Linked DNA regions of Yarrowia lipolytica. The protein of the gene in region 1 interacts with the protein of each later gene in a biochemical or structural test. Links are inferred from orthologs where the notes say so. Each region holds a gene or a part of one and is shown on either strand. Other genes may lie near its edges.

Evidence for each region. The genes of interacting proteins can lie anywhere in the genome.
Region 2: of the proteins of YALI1_D33418g (region 1) and YALI1_D01739g, one has a biochemical effect on the other in vitro, tested with the Saccharomyces cerevisiae proteins (2 studies listed by BioGRID). The link is inferred for Yarrowia lipolytica from reciprocal best matches to the Saccharomyces cerevisiae genes PHO85 and CRZ1.
Region 3: of the proteins of YALI1_D33418g (region 1) and YALI1_B17927g, one has a biochemical effect on the other in vitro, tested with the Saccharomyces cerevisiae proteins (2 studies listed by BioGRID). The link is inferred for Yarrowia lipolytica from reciprocal best matches to the Saccharomyces cerevisiae genes PHO85 and VIP1.

The regions. Positions count from the first base shown.
Region 1 is NC_090773.1:3,339,124-3,343,444, reverse strand, and holds YALI1_D33418g (uncharacterized protein), read left to right. Parts: upstream 1-1,727; coding exon 1,728-2,612; downstream 2,613-4,321. Other genes in the region: YALI1_D33428g (uncharacterized protein), read right to left, coding at 1-737; YALI1_D33397g (uncharacterized protein), read right to left, coding at 3,359-3,546, 3,601-3,757.
Region 2 is NC_090773.1:171,389-176,674, forward strand, and holds YALI1_D01739g (uncharacterized protein), read left to right. Parts: upstream 1-2,600; coding exon 2,601-4,361; downstream 4,362-5,286. Other genes in the region: YALI1_D01713g (uncharacterized protein), read right to left, coding at 37-162. UniProt on the Saccharomyces cerevisiae protein: Involved in the regulation of calcium ion homeostasis. Binds to the calcineurin-dependent response element. Transcriptionally regulates PMC1, PMR1, PMR2A and FKS2.
Region 3 is NC_090771.1:1,790,234-1,796,375, forward strand, and holds YALI1_B17927g (uncharacterized protein), read left to right. Parts: upstream 1-2,520; coding exon 2,521-5,217; downstream 5,218-6,142. Other genes in the region: YALI1_B17908g (uncharacterized protein), read right to left, coding at 1-580, 631-729; YALI1_B17964g (uncharacterized protein), read right to left, coding at 5,387-6,142. UniProt on the Saccharomyces cerevisiae protein: Bifunctional inositol kinase that acts in concert with the IP6K kinases to synthesize the diphosphate group-containing inositol pyrophosphates diphosphoinositol pentakisphosphate, PP-InsP5, and bis-diphosphoinositol tetrakisphosphate, (PP)2-InsP4.

The DNA of each region.
Region 1 (4,321 bases):
TGATGCACCCGTTTCTTGTAGCCTGCCTTTTGACCCGACGAGTGGCGGAACACAGTGTGGAGAAGATGCAGGGCAATTCGACCGCATCGTTCCTCCTGCTCGGCCGAGAGCTCGTGGTCGGTATACTTTTCGTAGTAGACGGAGATGGCACTTCCGTCAAAGTACAGCAATACGGCCTTGACACAGGGCAGGTAGTAGGGACACGACTTGGGATGGTCGTGGTGCGAAATGTAGGAAATGGCGATTTTGGCGCCCTCGGACGTTTCTTTGCCGTCAGAGTCCCACAACGGCTTGTCCGAGTGGACGATGCATGTTTGGTTGACGGAAAAGTCGTTCTGGGGGTTTCGGGGGATGATTCGACGAACAATGACTCGTTTGACTGGACAGGGAGTCACCTCGACTTGTCGGGGCTCGTAATCCTGCAGATTCGGAGGAACTGGAGTGTTCTTGTCCTTGTCTGTATCCTTCTTGTCGTCGTCGACAGGTCCTTCATGGGTATCGAAAATGAACCCTTCATTGGCCTTGTCCGTGCCCATGATGTTCGGCATCATGTTGAGCGAGTCAGAAATGATATCGGCTCTCATGATCACCGACGAGTTGATGTTGGGCTGGCTGATCACGTTGAGCATGGCCTCGAGAAAGTGCTGGGCCCCAAAGTCGACCGGGTGCGACAGATACGGCGTCCATTGTGTGCCGACCGCGGACGGCTCGCCGCTGATATCGGTGGGTGTGAACATGGCGTGACTGGTAGAGGGTCAAACGGGTCGCTATTGTTTTTCTGTCTGATTTGATTTTCCATTGTGATGCACGGCGAAAAGTTAATGCGCCAGGGGGACATGAAGGAAGAGCAAACGGGGGACTCTGTGGGTGTTGGAGTGGGAATTGTGAAGAAATAATTACATAAATATGATTGCAATCGGACGAGAAATCCACTGGAATTTCAAATGTCCAATTCGACCCACTTTTGAGCATTTCAAGCCACCCCTCACCACTCACCCCGCCTAGAGTCACCGCCGCCGCACAACCGAACAGGAAAGACAGGTTATGACTCATTCGTGGGGGAAAGAGAAAGAAGAGGACCATTGAGTCATCCGAAACATACAACTCAAACCGGATCTTTAGGGATCAGATGTCACGTGGGCCGAAACCCGACCTTGGAATATTGTTCTATGTTGTCGAGTAATCCGTTAAGTAAATAGTGAATATTAGTTGGATTTGATGGGGGTACAGGACGACTCTGTAAGTAGGGTTGAAATGGATCCAGAAACACGCGGAGAATTGGAATCACGTGAGAAGCAACTACAGTACCATTTGGCGTGAATTTGGACTCAAATAAGTCCTTATTTTATCATCTACAATGAACCATTCTCCTACCTCCGCTGACTCATAGTTCAAGTAATTTTATACTTCTTGACACGTGATGGTGCATTTGGTGAAAAATGGATCTGGATTTCGGCGGTCCAGTTTGAGAGCAATTTAGAGCTGTGGGGGTATATATATATATATATATATATAGATGTGCTTGGGGTCTTGTTTTTTCCCTTCTTGTTTTCTCTTCTTTTTTACCACTCGGACCCTTTTGTCCGTCTCCTGTGGTTTTCCCCCTTTGCTCACGGTTTGCTCTACTGCTTGTCCCAACCAGCTCCATGCACGTCGTCAACATCTAAAACTCAAGTACAGCTGCCAACTGAGTCGTCACCACACACAGTCGTCCACCACCACCACCAATGAACACGTCATCGCAATTCCAGCAGCTGGAGAAGCTCGGAGAAGGCACGTACGCCACGGTGTACAAGGGCCGCAACCGAACCACGGGCCAGCTTGTGGCGCTCAAGGAAATTAACCTGGACAGTGAAGAGGGCACGCCTTCCACGGCCATCCGAGAAATCTCGCTGATGAAGGAGCTTAAGCACGAAAACATTGTGACGCTGTACGACGTGATCCACACGGAAAACAAGCTGAATCTGGTGTTTGAGTACATGGACAAGGATCTCAAAAAGTTCATGGACACCAATGGCAACAAGGGCGCGCTGGAGACCAAGCAGGTCAAGTGGTTCATGTACCAGCTACTCCGTGGCATTCTCTTCTGCCACGACAACCGGGTTCTACACAGAGACCTCAAGCCCCAGAACCTGCTCATCAACGCCAAGGGACAGCTCAAGCTGGCTGACTTTGGTCTGGCCCGAGCGTTTGGAATCCCCGTTAACACCTTTTCCAACGAGGTCGTGACGCTGTGGTACCGGGCTCCGGATGTGCTCCTTGGATCCAGAACCTACTCCACCTCCATCGACATCTGGTCTGCAGGCTGCATCATGGCCGAGATGTTCACTGGCCGGCCTCTGTTCCCCGGATCTTCCAACGACGACCAGCTGCAACACATTTTCAAGCTCATGGGCACGCCCAACGAGAGCACGTGGCCCAATATCTCGTCGCTGCCCAATTACCGATCCAACTTCCAGGTCTATGCTCCCCAGGACCTCCGAGTCATCATCCCCCAGATTGATAACGTGGCGCTAGATCTGCTCTTGTCGCTGCTGCAGCTCAAGCCGGAGAACCGAATCACGGCTAGACAGAGTCTTGAGCATCCTTGGTTTGCCGAGTACCATCAGTAAGCTGCATCAACCGCAAAACCTGTGGGAGCATGGGTTCAAGTATCATTGCTTCCTGCCAGTGCCGGCACTAGGTGCCGTTAAAGCACCACTGGAAGACCGACCCAACTACTGTTACTGGATCTTCACAGGCTAAAGAATTAACAAGGAGGAGGATAGCACTAATAGATTGTCGTGTTTGAGTGGTGCAATAGTCTGAAGTTGTATTGGAGAGGAATGGGCCGTATTAAAATAGTGAAGAGAGATCGCCGTACTATTTAATAGCCATGTAACACTCCAGGATCTACCGGAAAAACGAGTCACGCGATACACACGAGTTGAACATGAAAGTCACGTGAATTGCACGTGACTTGAACTTACATTCATGTCTGTACCATATGTACAGTATGTACATACATTCGCTATCTAAAACATCTCGGTCTTATGTAGCCTCTATTTATTTGATTCATGTCATAACTGGTATCATCTGAATCCCCACGTGATCAGGACTGTGACGAAATTTGTTACACAATAATAGGATCATTATTGACTGAGTGAGATGGTTGTTCATTTGTGACTCAACAAACCCAACTATATATCAAGTAAATATGGTGAAGATACAGGAAGATTAAACAACGGGGAAACCGGTGGTATGCAGAAAAAAAAGTGGTAGAAACAGAAACTGCGCTTTCAGAGTATCATTTTGATTAGGAAGATTTGTCCGATCACCTGATATTCTCTATGGAACGAATAGGAGTCGCTTACATGAGTCACGTGCACATAATATGACGTTGTCGAGAGGAGGATGTTGGGTCCAGGCTGGGTGCATGGTGAATTTGGGTGCACTTTGGTGGTAGCTGTGAGATCATGTGCATTGTCTCTATGAGGTCACGTGACTGATTCCAATCACATGGCGTTGCCTGCCACGGCGGCCGTGTTCGTGTGATGGACTTGTATACTTGACTATGGCCATCGATGTGGTTTGGGTTCAATTTTTCAAGTAATTGTCAACTAAATTGTGTTGTGATTATTGAAAGATCATAAAAAACAGAGCACATCAACAGTGAGAGCAAGAGTGATTGGGTAGTGCGAGACCAAGACCGAAGTCGGAGTTTTGAAGCCTCAGAAAAGTTTGTGACAAGTTTTCCGCATTTCAGTCTTGCGACCATTGCTAGGACTTGCAGATGTTTGTTTCATCATCGACCATGGACCAATACGACCAATACTCTACAGTCTACAGCTCCTCTTGAGTAATGACAATTACCTATCTAGACTGGGTTAGTTGTGTTTACAGAACCACGACTTGCTTCTGGTAAGGGTCAGGTTATTGTTGCGTTGTTAGGAAGGTTATCAGCATTGCAGAGCTCTGAGTGAGCTGAGTAAGTGTTTCATCATCAAATGATGGGCTTCCTGGAGTACTCACCTTGTGCTATGATGGGGAGAAGTGGTGTTCGGCGGTGCAATTTTTATACATGGGCTCTACTGCAGGGTAAGTTGTGGGAGAGGGTTGGGTGGGATGAGTCGTACGCTCAGAGGATATCACAGACTGGACAGGTAGGGTTATGTAAGGTTGTCGGTTCGATTACGGCCAGTGAGTGAGTGAGTAGTGAGTGAGCGAGTACAAGTCGAGTAAATTACGAGTTGTGTTGATATATTGGAAACTTGTATGAGTACGGTCTTCAACGGTCTCGGCCTCCTACAGTCTCCTACCGACCCTCCCGTTTTCTACCGCC
Region 2 (5,286 bases), about 3.2 Mb from region 1:
TTCTCTCCTGGTTGTCTCCACTCAAGTCTAATTAACCTCTCTTTGAATTACGACCGTTATGCTCAACACATGTTCCGGAAATAGAACAGCAAGGCTATGATGAAACCGGGAACTACTTCCTATAAAGAGTTGATCTTGGCTTGGATTGGGTGTGGTTGGCATTGCCCGATGTCGCTATGGACCGAAAACGCGCAAGGAGCTTGGCTGGAGTATGTAAGGGTAGTGGTACGATACGTTGAAGACATACAGTACAGTTATGTATCATCATGTATGAGCATCAAGGGGCAGAGCCGTTATCAAAGGGGGCGGCATATATGTCCGTGAGATTCTAAGACGGCGTCTACGGGCTGCATCAGGTCATGTGGATGGTTGCTCCTATTAGCGGCGAATGGCATTGTTCTAGGGCCTGTCTCGAGGTCTATGTCTCAGAAACTATCGGTATGACGACGGTCCATGACGATGCTGCGCTGAGACTGCAATTTACTCTTTACGGGCGCTTAGCACCCATTGGGTTGTCGATCTGGGGTTATTACGATTGCCAGGGCGACCTTACCTTGTTCGAGGTAACATCTGATTGTGTGAGTATGGGGCTGTGTTTGATAGTGCGCCTGTATCGACTGCGGTCGGTTAACCTGTAAGGTACAGGCACACTGGGGTTGCCCAGTTTTATGAAACCGAGTCGTCCGTATGAAACGGCATGTTCTTTTTGCAGTGAAATATCGCACACGGCGGAATGCGGAATGCAGAATGCGCAATTGGCGGACAAGATCGGTGAAGAATATGAAGCTATAGTAGGTACAGCAGGTACAGCAAGATGCAACGGAATCGTGTGTTGATTCATATTAAACGTCAGCTCACTTGTCGTCTCCAGTCGATCTCACCATCAAAGTGCCCACCCTTTCTCTCCATCTCAGCTGCTGTGAGGAAAAAGCAATAACTCCAGCAACAGTTCAGCCCGGTGCTTAGATCCATACATGCGGAGAGCACAGGCTGAGTCTGCCGAAACTCTGAGGCGAGCTAGAAACAAGGCGCAATTAAAAATAGCGGAGTAGCGTTGGCTTCGTGTTACAGAATGGCCCAACCCAATGGCGTTCAAGCTCCCATTTCCACCCCCTCAGTTGCTTCCAACACTCTTCCACACATGACAATAGACGAGGTAGAAACAAGCTAAGCTACTGTATGTACCAGTGCTCGTACTGAGAATGACACAGAAGTAATATCTGTCGCTGGTGCCATCCTTTGACATAGGCACCCGTTGAGCCGACTGGTCCCTGTCATGTGACGTGGTACCAACCTCTCGGTAACCATGGCTAGAACGCCTGCAGAGTGCCATCACCAATTCTGACTAAACGCCAAGCTCCGGAGCCAAGAAATGACGAGCACAAATTGTCCGAGTTTGCGACCCCAAGACGAGCGGTCATTAATTTAGCCGCGGTGGAGAGTGTCATGACACGGTTTGGAGCATTAGATTAGGCGCAATGAACGTTACGAATATTGACTAACGACCGACGTTACGGTAGCTACTGTACCCCAACTACTACATCAGACTTCTAGGTTGACAACTGATGGTTTCTAGAAGACGTTAAGTGGAGTCGGTGACACATGTAGGCGGTATGACGACACCATTTCATCGGATCCGAGCCTGTGGACCTTTTACTCGCCAATTGTTAGAGTCGCTTTTCCGTGCTTCTAGGACGTCTATTGTCCTGTCGTCAATCTCAACCCTATATGCCCCCTCCCTCAACGTTGTATGGCTTCCACACGTAATCGTTGCACTCTGTTTGCACCCTTTTCCGGGCTTTCCTTGTTCGTCTGGCTTAGTGATTCTTGCTAATTTGCTCACCCCCACACAAGACGGCCAAGACGGGTCCCCAAGGTCACATGGCTCTATTGTGCCTCTATTGTGCGTTAGTCCATCCCTACACCACGATTGTGCCTGACCATCTTGCAGGAAATTGAGTATCTCAGCATCAGCATTCACAGCGGAGAAGAACACACATCACAGGCATCAGCAGCGGCTGTTTGTGTGGCCGTTGCATCCCACCTCCCCTGCGGCACATCTTTTTGTTTCATTTAATGGCTTGTCCGCAACACCTGTTGCACAGCCCTGGCTTTCAGGAACATGTATGGAAGCTGGGCTGTGTGCGTAAGTCTTGCCTTAACTCCGGTTCTGATGTTTTTAGAATTTTTTTTTTTTTTCCGTGTTTCCTGGGAGTCTAAAAATAACACACGTAGCAACGCTGCGAACAACACAGCACGGCTGCGAATAATCCAGTATGGACGGAGAGAGGCGTGCTAGGGGAGGGTCACGTGACACCACACAAGGGGCGAGACATGCAAAAGCACGCACGCCAACGGGCCCGCAAATACCCAAAAAAAACAAGCCAGAATCTCTATTTCAAAACCTACATTGATATCGTACTTGTATTCAAAAGCTACACTTCCGCGCCCCCCCAAATACCATTTTGGATTTAAGGTTCAAGGTCGCGACCCGACACTAAGTCGCATTAAACTACTCACACACCAGGGTCCAAAAAACATCGACGCCACGGAAGAAAGACGTGCCTGGGATTCCCGTGTATATATAAGTCGCTGCCGCCATGTCAAATACCGGAGATCCTCTTCAAGAGGTCTTTGAGTCATTCGACCCCAAAGATTACTATCTGTTCGACACCTCCACCAACCCCACAAAACAGCAACAGGACCCCAACTCGATACAACCGCACCAGCAACCGCCGCTTTCTGGTCTCCCACACAACGTCAACACCTCGGGCTTTGACGACTCCACTTCCATAATCAACGCAAACACCCCCTCCCCGCTTCAGGCAGGCTCCGTGTCTCCACAACCCCAGCAGATGGACTTTCTGTCCCCCCAGGATTTCCGTTTCGCCTCCTTCGACGACCCCCAGTCTTTTCTGAATCCCTACGACCTCCAGACACAGCCGGCCACCGACTTTCTGTTACCCATCTCGCAGCCTGGACACCACCGAGCCAACTCGCACTCCTCAGACACCTCGGCGGCTCCCTCCCCGCAGCAGTTTCATTCCCCGTACGCCGCGTCTCCTGTCAACCCCGACGAATACGCCGCAGAAATGGCAGGATTGCCCGAACTGACCTACGGACTCGATCTCAACGGCTCGCAAAGCATGAACCAGATGAATATGGCAGTATCACCTATGGCTATGGGAATGCCGGATCAGATGAACCAGATGAACCATCAGCAAAACAATCTGAATCCGCCCATCCAGATGAACCACAGCAACAGTCACACCGGCCTGTCTGACCTCAACAACGCTAGCCAGGGTAACCACAATATCAACAATAACAACGGCAACGGCAACAGCAACAGTAGCCACACCCCCGGTGTTGCGCTGTCGCCCTCGCTGCTGACCCCAAACATGCTGTCTCCAAACAGCTCACAGCAGTCGTACTCGTCGTCGCCGCAGACGTCCCAGGGCTCCATCTCGTCGCAGAGCCATCAGTCTATCCCCATGCTCAATGTGGAGCCTCCACGTGACGACCCGTCCCGCCGACGTGCTCACTCCGACGCCTCGCACTACTCGGACCGGTCGTCGACGCCCTACGAGGTACCCACGCTCTTCCCCCACGCCACCTCGTCGCCGTCGTCGCAGGACCCCGCTGACTTGCTGTCTCCCGGCGACGCAGCAAGCATACAGACGCGTCGAAGCCGTAGCCGCTCGTCGTCGACGTCTTCGGACGTGCGGACTCGTGACCAGTCTCACTCGCCCTCCCGATCGCCCAGCCAAGGCGGAGGCAACCGTTCGCGCTCAAACTCTCACTCGCGAGACTACATTCTCGAGCTGGCGGCTCCCACGTCCAACAACAAGCGTGTGCAGAAACACCCCTCCACTTTTGCGTGCCATCTGTGTGACAAACGGTTCACCAGATCGTACAACCTGCGGTCTCATTTGCGAACTCATACTGATGAACGTCCATTTGTGTGCACTGTCTGTGGCAAGGCGTTTGCGCGTCAACACGACCGAAAACGACACGAGGCTCTTCATTCTGGAGAGAAGAAGTACCAGTGTCAGGGAGTATTGGCAGACGGGCAAACTCCGTGGGGTTGTGGACGCAAGTTTGCGCGTGCAGACGCTCTGGGACGACATTTCAAGACCGAAGCCGGTCGGGAGTGTATCCGGCTGCTGCTGGAAGAAGAGGCCAACGAAAAACAGGCGCTTTCGGGCCAGCAGGTTCCCTATCCTGGCGATGGAGTTCCTTCCTTGACTTTTAGTCCGCCTGCTGAGCCTCAGAACGAGCCCCGGCCTCAGCAGCCCGTCATTTTCCCGGCCGCTCTGCTCCAAAAATACCCCGTGTTGCTGAACCACTTGAACGAGGACTAATTGAGGTCTTTCTGTGGTATTGTTCAGCTGATGTTACTTTTAGATCCTCCTAGTGGGGTGCTATTTATTGTATATGTATTCTACATTCGTTTCTACTCTGTGTGGTAATTACTATTTGTACCGCTACAAGTACTTGTAATTAGTGGTCTGCATAGTTGTGATAGTGCGAGGTCATCGCATGAGTGAATTGTATCGACGATAAAATTATGCTATAAATATCCATTCTCGATCTACAAGTAGCTAGTGCATGACCGTTGAGAATGTGGAGATGACCGTTAGTGTGGGGGGATGGGGCCATTGTCGATCAGTCGATCTACAAGTAGTCGGCTCGATTCGGTGCAGGAGCTGGGTGGTTACTACAGCAGATCACGGTTACAAGTACGAGCATTGGAGTCTATGGATCTACAATAATATCGTTAATTAATAAGATGTGAGATAATGAAACTCAATCAGTTGAGAAATGGAAGAGGTGAAAAAGAGCGTGGCGGTATTTGTGTGAAGGGTATGGTGAGAAATGGTTTGGATATGGCTTCTTCTGTCTGAGTGTGATTTTTTGACCTCCCCACGGAAGTAGATATCAGGTTTTAGACTGCACCGGAAGTGAGTATACAGCATCTGCTACAAGTGGCACAGTAATACCTGTACATGTACTGTACTTTTAGTGTATCTTGAAACACGATCAGGACCTACTTGTACTTGTAAGACTGTCTGTCTAATTCTTTCACAATGTACGTAACTCTGGTCAAATCACATATGCTTACAACAGGAGCCTCGTTGTTGTGAGATTGTCATGTGGTGAACTACAAGTAAAAAGGCATGTTGCATTAGCATGTGTATCGTTTGGGTAGTTCGTAATTTTTGTCAAGATGAGTGGTTGAGAAGCATCTCAGTCGTATGGATATGACTTCACATGAATTTGTGTATA
Region 3 (6,142 bases), on another chromosome or scaffold:
CGTCAGATCCAATCTCGTTGGTGGAGAAAACAACTTTGCCTGTTCGAATATTCACCAGCAATAGAGACCGTCGAGTTGCCACCACAATCTTGTTGAGGTAGGTGGGGGGATGGATGATGGAGTGCGCAGCTCCCACAGAGTTGGCGAGAGTCACGGTGGTGTAATACTCAAACGGAGGGTCCAGCTCGTCTCTATCTTCCTCCTCGTCCTCGTCGTCAGACTGCTCCTCCTTCTTCTGGCCTCGCTTGAAGACAAAGATCTGTGAGCTGTTGATGGCCACCAGGTTCTCTCCGAAAGATCGCACACACACTAGCTTGTCCTTGGTGTCGCACTCCAGCTTGTACAGTAGCTTACCACGGAAGTAGACGCCAATACAGTTGTCCCAGGTGGCATAAACGTAGGGTCGGTGGAAATGAAGCGACTGGATGGGCGCGGGGGTCTGAGGAGAGGTTACAAACATGAGATGGAGCGTCGAAACATCGTAGATCTGAACGGCTCGGCCCACACTGCATGCAACCAGGAAGTTTCGGCCGAAAGATGACACGGAAATAGGTGTGGAGTTGGCAACATGTCCAATAGTCTGTGTTAGTTTGGTGATGTTGGGTGTAGTGATGGGGGTGTAGTACTCACTCTGAAAGGCGTGAAGATCTTAGAGGGGGTTCCGACAAGTCTGTCACGCACAGTGACCTCGTCAGACTCCACTCTTCGCTTTTTTTCAATCGCAGGCATCGTTTTAGAGCGGGTGTCGGAACGCTATGATTTGTGTGATGCAGCTTGGAAAAAAATATTTGGGTCGTGCATGCCAGAAGTTTATTTGGATGGGTCATAATCTGTACAGTATATGAGGATATGTAAGAAGTTAGGATGAGATGCAGAAATGATAGTAGAAGTATACCGAGAGTATTCTTCGTGTTCTTTTTTAGTGATAGTGGAAATAACTGGTTCTGTTTATATTTTCAAGTTGGGCGATAGAGTTCGGTTTCAAGTGAAGGGAAATTTTTGTTGGATTTTTAGTTGGTACTTGAAGGACTGTCTATGAAAAATGTACGTACGTACTATAAAAATAAGTACTACTTGTGGTGGTGTTTATAAAATACAATAAAATAAAATAAAATAAAATAATGCTCCTCTTTGTGCAGCTCTGTAGCATTGTTAGCATCAGTAGTGGACACTCGACTCTGAAACATCCGAAAGGCTTTATATATATAATATATATATATATATATATTATATAATATATATATTCTACAAGTAGCACATAGAGCACTCAAAGTACAAATAAGTACATACTGTATATCATACTGTATGGTACTTACAGTGCTCTGTCTCACTACAAGTGTGCTCGTAACAATTACTTCTAAGTAAGACGTGCAAAACTATATCGGAAGATCCAAATTGGAACGACTGGTGGAAACGATTAATAACAACGGGATGTGTGCGACCCAGCAACTTGAGATGCCGACACTGTCTATATAGAGCCCTCCTTCTACACCACTGTAACATTTGGCCTTGCGCTCACGATACGTCTGTCTTCTTTGCATGTGAGCGGCAACGAAACTTTGGCTCCACAATAGCGAGCACGTGGATAGATACAATGGAGTAGATTGAGGGGACTGTAAAGCCACTATTGTGGGGTATTATAGTAGGTGGGAGTTTATTGAATTGGAGACAGACTGAGAATTGGTCATTCTATATCTCAATCTGTCGATATCACCCAGTATATATCGGCTTAAGGTCTTCTGTGCTATGCTATATCAACCCACCAAACAAGGCGAAGCTGCTGCATAGACGATCGAGCTGTGGAGACGGTATCGTACAGTAGATAACCGGAAGAACTCAGATGGGGGTGGCTTGCCAAGAGTATACGTCACTCACTCATAAAACAAAAGAATAACTACAAGTGGTCTAATCAATTTTACCACTCCAAAAACAGCCAGAGAACATTTCCCAATCAGCTGCTTGTAGCTCCAGTCCAGTAGAATGGCTCGCTGCACCACGCTGCCTATGCATCTGGTGTTAGCCAAAACCATAAGCAGCGAACAGCACAAACGGGAGTATTAAAAGTTGTTTTACCAGAGACCGATGTCGGATCTTAAAAGGTCAATCGCTGTAAAACTTCCTTTGAAATCGATTTCTTTTTTTTTCATCTTTCTACCCCCTCTCCTTGTCATCCAAACTCCACCCCAGAATCATTGCTTCGATATTCCCAATTGTCGAGCGCAGCATTAGTCTGAACCCTAAAGCTGATCTCGTCGACATCGGGTCTACCTCTCACACATCTTCACACCACCCACCACACCCCCCCCCGTGGAAAAATGTTCAGAACCGTCTCCGACCGTGTCGGCCTCGGCCCCCGCATCCTCGTACGAGCCCTCGGACTCGTCCATCTCCACGTCGTCAATAAAGGCTGCTGTTGAGGGCCGAGCCCGACGGTCCTCTTCCTTCTCTAGCATCAGAGCTGCCTCTGGTACCCCCGACCTGTCCAACCTTCCCAAGATTGGCAAAATTGGTGTCTGTGCGATGGACGTCAAGGCCCGATCCAAGCCATGTCGGCACATTCTCAACAGGCTGCTGGACACGGGCGAATTTGAAACCGTTGTCTTTGGAGACAAGGTGATTTTGGACGAGCCCATTGAGAACTGGCCCACGTGTGACTTTCTCATTTCCTTCTTCTCATCCGGTTTTCCCCTCGAAAAGGCCATTTCCTACGTCAAGCTACGAAAACCCTTCCTCGTCAATGACCTCATTCTGCAAAAAGTGCTGTGGGACCGACGTATCGTGCTTGACCTGCTCGACTCGGCCAATGTTCAAACCCCTCCTCGTCTCATTTGCACCCGAGACGGAGGCGCAAAGGCCGACCCTGACCTGGCCAAGAAGCTGGCCGAACACAATGTCATCCTGACTCCCCAGCCCAAGTCCGAATGTCACATGGTTGACGAGGATACCGTCATGGTGGATGGCAAGACCATGACGAAGCCGTTCGTCGAGAAGCCCGTGGATGGAGAAGACCACAACATCTACGTCTACTACCCCAAGTCGTCGGGAGGAGGAGGTCGACGACTATTCCGAAAGGTCGGCAACAAGAGTTCAGAATTTGACCAGGATCTCTGTGAAGTCCGGATGGACGGCTCGTACATTTACGAGAAGTTTATGGACACCGAAAACAAGGAGGATGTCAAGGCGTACACTGTTGGAGCCCATTACTGTCACGCTGAGACCCGAAAGTCCCCCGTTGTCGACGGTATTGTCAGACGGAACACATATGGCAAGGAGCTGCGGTTTGTGACCAAGCTGACTGACGAGGAGATCAAGTTTGCCAGCAAGGTCTCTCAGACCTTTGAGCAGACTATTTGCGGTTTTGATCTGCTGCGTGCCCAAGGTGAGTCGTATGTCATTGATGTTAACGGTTTCTCTTTCGTCAAGGACAACCACGAATATTACGACAACTGCGCCCGAATTCTGCGACAGATCTTCCTGCAGGCTAAGCAGCAGCGAAACAAGGACCGAGCCATCGCTAACACTGCTCCTCAGCCCGAGAAGCACCAGTCCTGGGTTCTCAAGGGCCAGGCTATTGTGATTCGACACGCAGACCGAACCCCCAAGCAGAAGATCAAGGTCTCATTTAAGCATCCTCTCTTCATTGATCTACTGAAGGGTCACAAGGAGGAGGTTCTTTACCGAGAGAAGGATCGTCTGATGGAGGTGCTTGAGACTACTCGACGGGCCACAAGGGAGGCTACTGACGAGGATCCTCAGAAGATGGCTAACCTGATCATTGCTCTGGAGAAGAAGATGGATTTCCCCGGAACCAAGGTCCAGATCAAGCCCACAATCAATAAGAGCACCGGCGAGGTTGAGAAGGTGCAACTAGTGGCCAAGTGGGGAGGAGAACCCACTCATTCGGCTCGATACCAGGCCCAGGACATGGGTGACCAGATGCGTCAGGATCTCATGATTGTCAACAAGAACCTGCTCAAGAATGTCAAGTGTCTCTCATCTTCTGAACGACGAGTCATTGCCAGTGCCAAGATTTGGGCAGCTGCCTTCCTAGGTGTTGAGGAGGTCTCTGACGACTTCATTGTTGTTCGAAAGGGTCTTCTTGATGATTCCAACGCCGCCAAGGACCTCATGGACAAGGTCAAGAAGGAGCTTAAGCCTCTTCTGCGAAAGGGAACCCCACCTCCCCCTCATTTCACCTGGCCCGACAAGATTCCCGAGCCCTTCATTGTGTTGCAGCGGGTCGTCGAGCTCATGAAGTACCACCACAAGGTCATGGAGAGAAACTTCAACAACCACACTCCCGAGGAGGTTGAAGCCTTTCAGACTCGATGGTGTTGCCAGGAGACCCCTTTCTTGTTCCGAGAGCGATGGGATAAGCTTTTCTCCGAGTTCACTTCGCCCGACAAGGTCGACCCTTCTCGAATCTCCGAGCTATATGACGCTATGAAGTTCGATGCACTGCATAACCGACAGTTCCTCGAGCGAATCTTCAAGCCCGATGAGAGTGTCGAAATTGCTCCCCCTTCGTGCCACATCCCTAACGTCTCTGCTCCCGAGCTGTCTTCTCTTGGAAAGACTCCTCTTGTTACGCCTACAAGTGACGACGAAACCAAAACATCTTCCAACGGCAAGTCGCCCCAGCAGACTTTCTATGGCCCCCAGTACGTGCATCTTCGAGAGCTGTACCGACTGGCCAAGATTCTGTTTGACTTCATTTGTCCCCAGGAGTACGGTATCGAGGACAAGGAGAAGCTGGACATTGGTCTGCTGACGTGTCTGCCTCTGCTCAAGGAGATTCTGTCCGAGCTCAACGAGATGAAGCAGGCCGAGACTGGAGGTGTGATTGCTTACTTCACCAAGGAATCTCACATCTACACCCTGCTCAACATCATCTACGAGTCCGGCATCAACACCCGAATCGCCCGAAACGTGATTCCCGAGCTGGACTACCTAACCCAGATTGTTTTTGAGCTATATGAGAGTGTAGAGGCGGATGAGTATGGCGAGAAGAAGTACTCCATTCGACTGTCAATCTCGCCTGGATGCAACACCCAGTCTCCTCTGGATGTTCAGCTGGACTCAAAGCACTGCATCTCTTGTATTCCACGAGTCGGTCTCACTCGACATTTGGACCTGGATCTGGTCATTGGCAAGCTGCAGACTCGTTTCAACCGGGTGTCCATGCCTTCCAAGTTTATTCCCGTCAACATTTCTTAAACGAGCCTCAGAGTTGTTTTTTGCCCTTGAGCTTCTTATTACTTACGTTGATGTTAGATTAACTGTATATTAAGTGCATTTTTTATTGTGTGAGTGCTCCTGTGTAGTAATAAGTAAGATCGTATAAATAATTGACTCACTACATCTATGCCTTGTCTTCCTTCTTGCCTTACTCCTTCAGCGTCTTTTCCTTCTCTTCCCTCTCCTCCGCTGCAGCTGCCTTTCTCTCCTTTCGATGAATACCAAATCCATTGTACGCCACAGCCCAAGCTTCGCCCTTGGACAGTTTATCAGGAATCTCGATCATCTCCCACTCACACTTCAGGTCTTTTTCAGACTGTAGTATCGTGCTCAGAGCAGGGTACTTCTGCTTGAACTCGTCATCTCCAAACCGAGTGTCATAGGATCCGAGATAGTTGGCCACAATGAAGTCTGCATTGATGAAGAGCAGTTCATTGACGTTCACAGGTGCATGAGGTGCGTAGATGAAAGACTCTGTCGGCTGAAGTTTCACCTCGGAAATGCTTTTGGTCAGATCTTCGATGTCACCAGATTCTGCGGCTATGTCTGTTGTGTCTTCCATGTCAGCCTTTTGTGTATCTGATTTCACAGATTTTGTTTCCTCCTCTACATCCTTCGTTCTGAAATCAGGATCCCACATCCCTGTCACGGTCTTCATTCCTAACAGCTTGAGCATTTCCTCATCTCGAGCCGTGAACATAGGTTCTGTACAGACTACCTTGTCCAGAGGGATCTTGAGCTCTTCGGCCAGCAAAAGCAACAATACCAGCTGGTATCGCACTCCTTCGTCCTCTGCAGGCTTGCCCAATGCCAGACATTGGATATCTGCAAACTCCTTGGTGCTGTGTTTCTCTAGAGTCTGTTGGAGATGGGTTTGGAAGAAGTCGTAGAACTTGGACCGCTT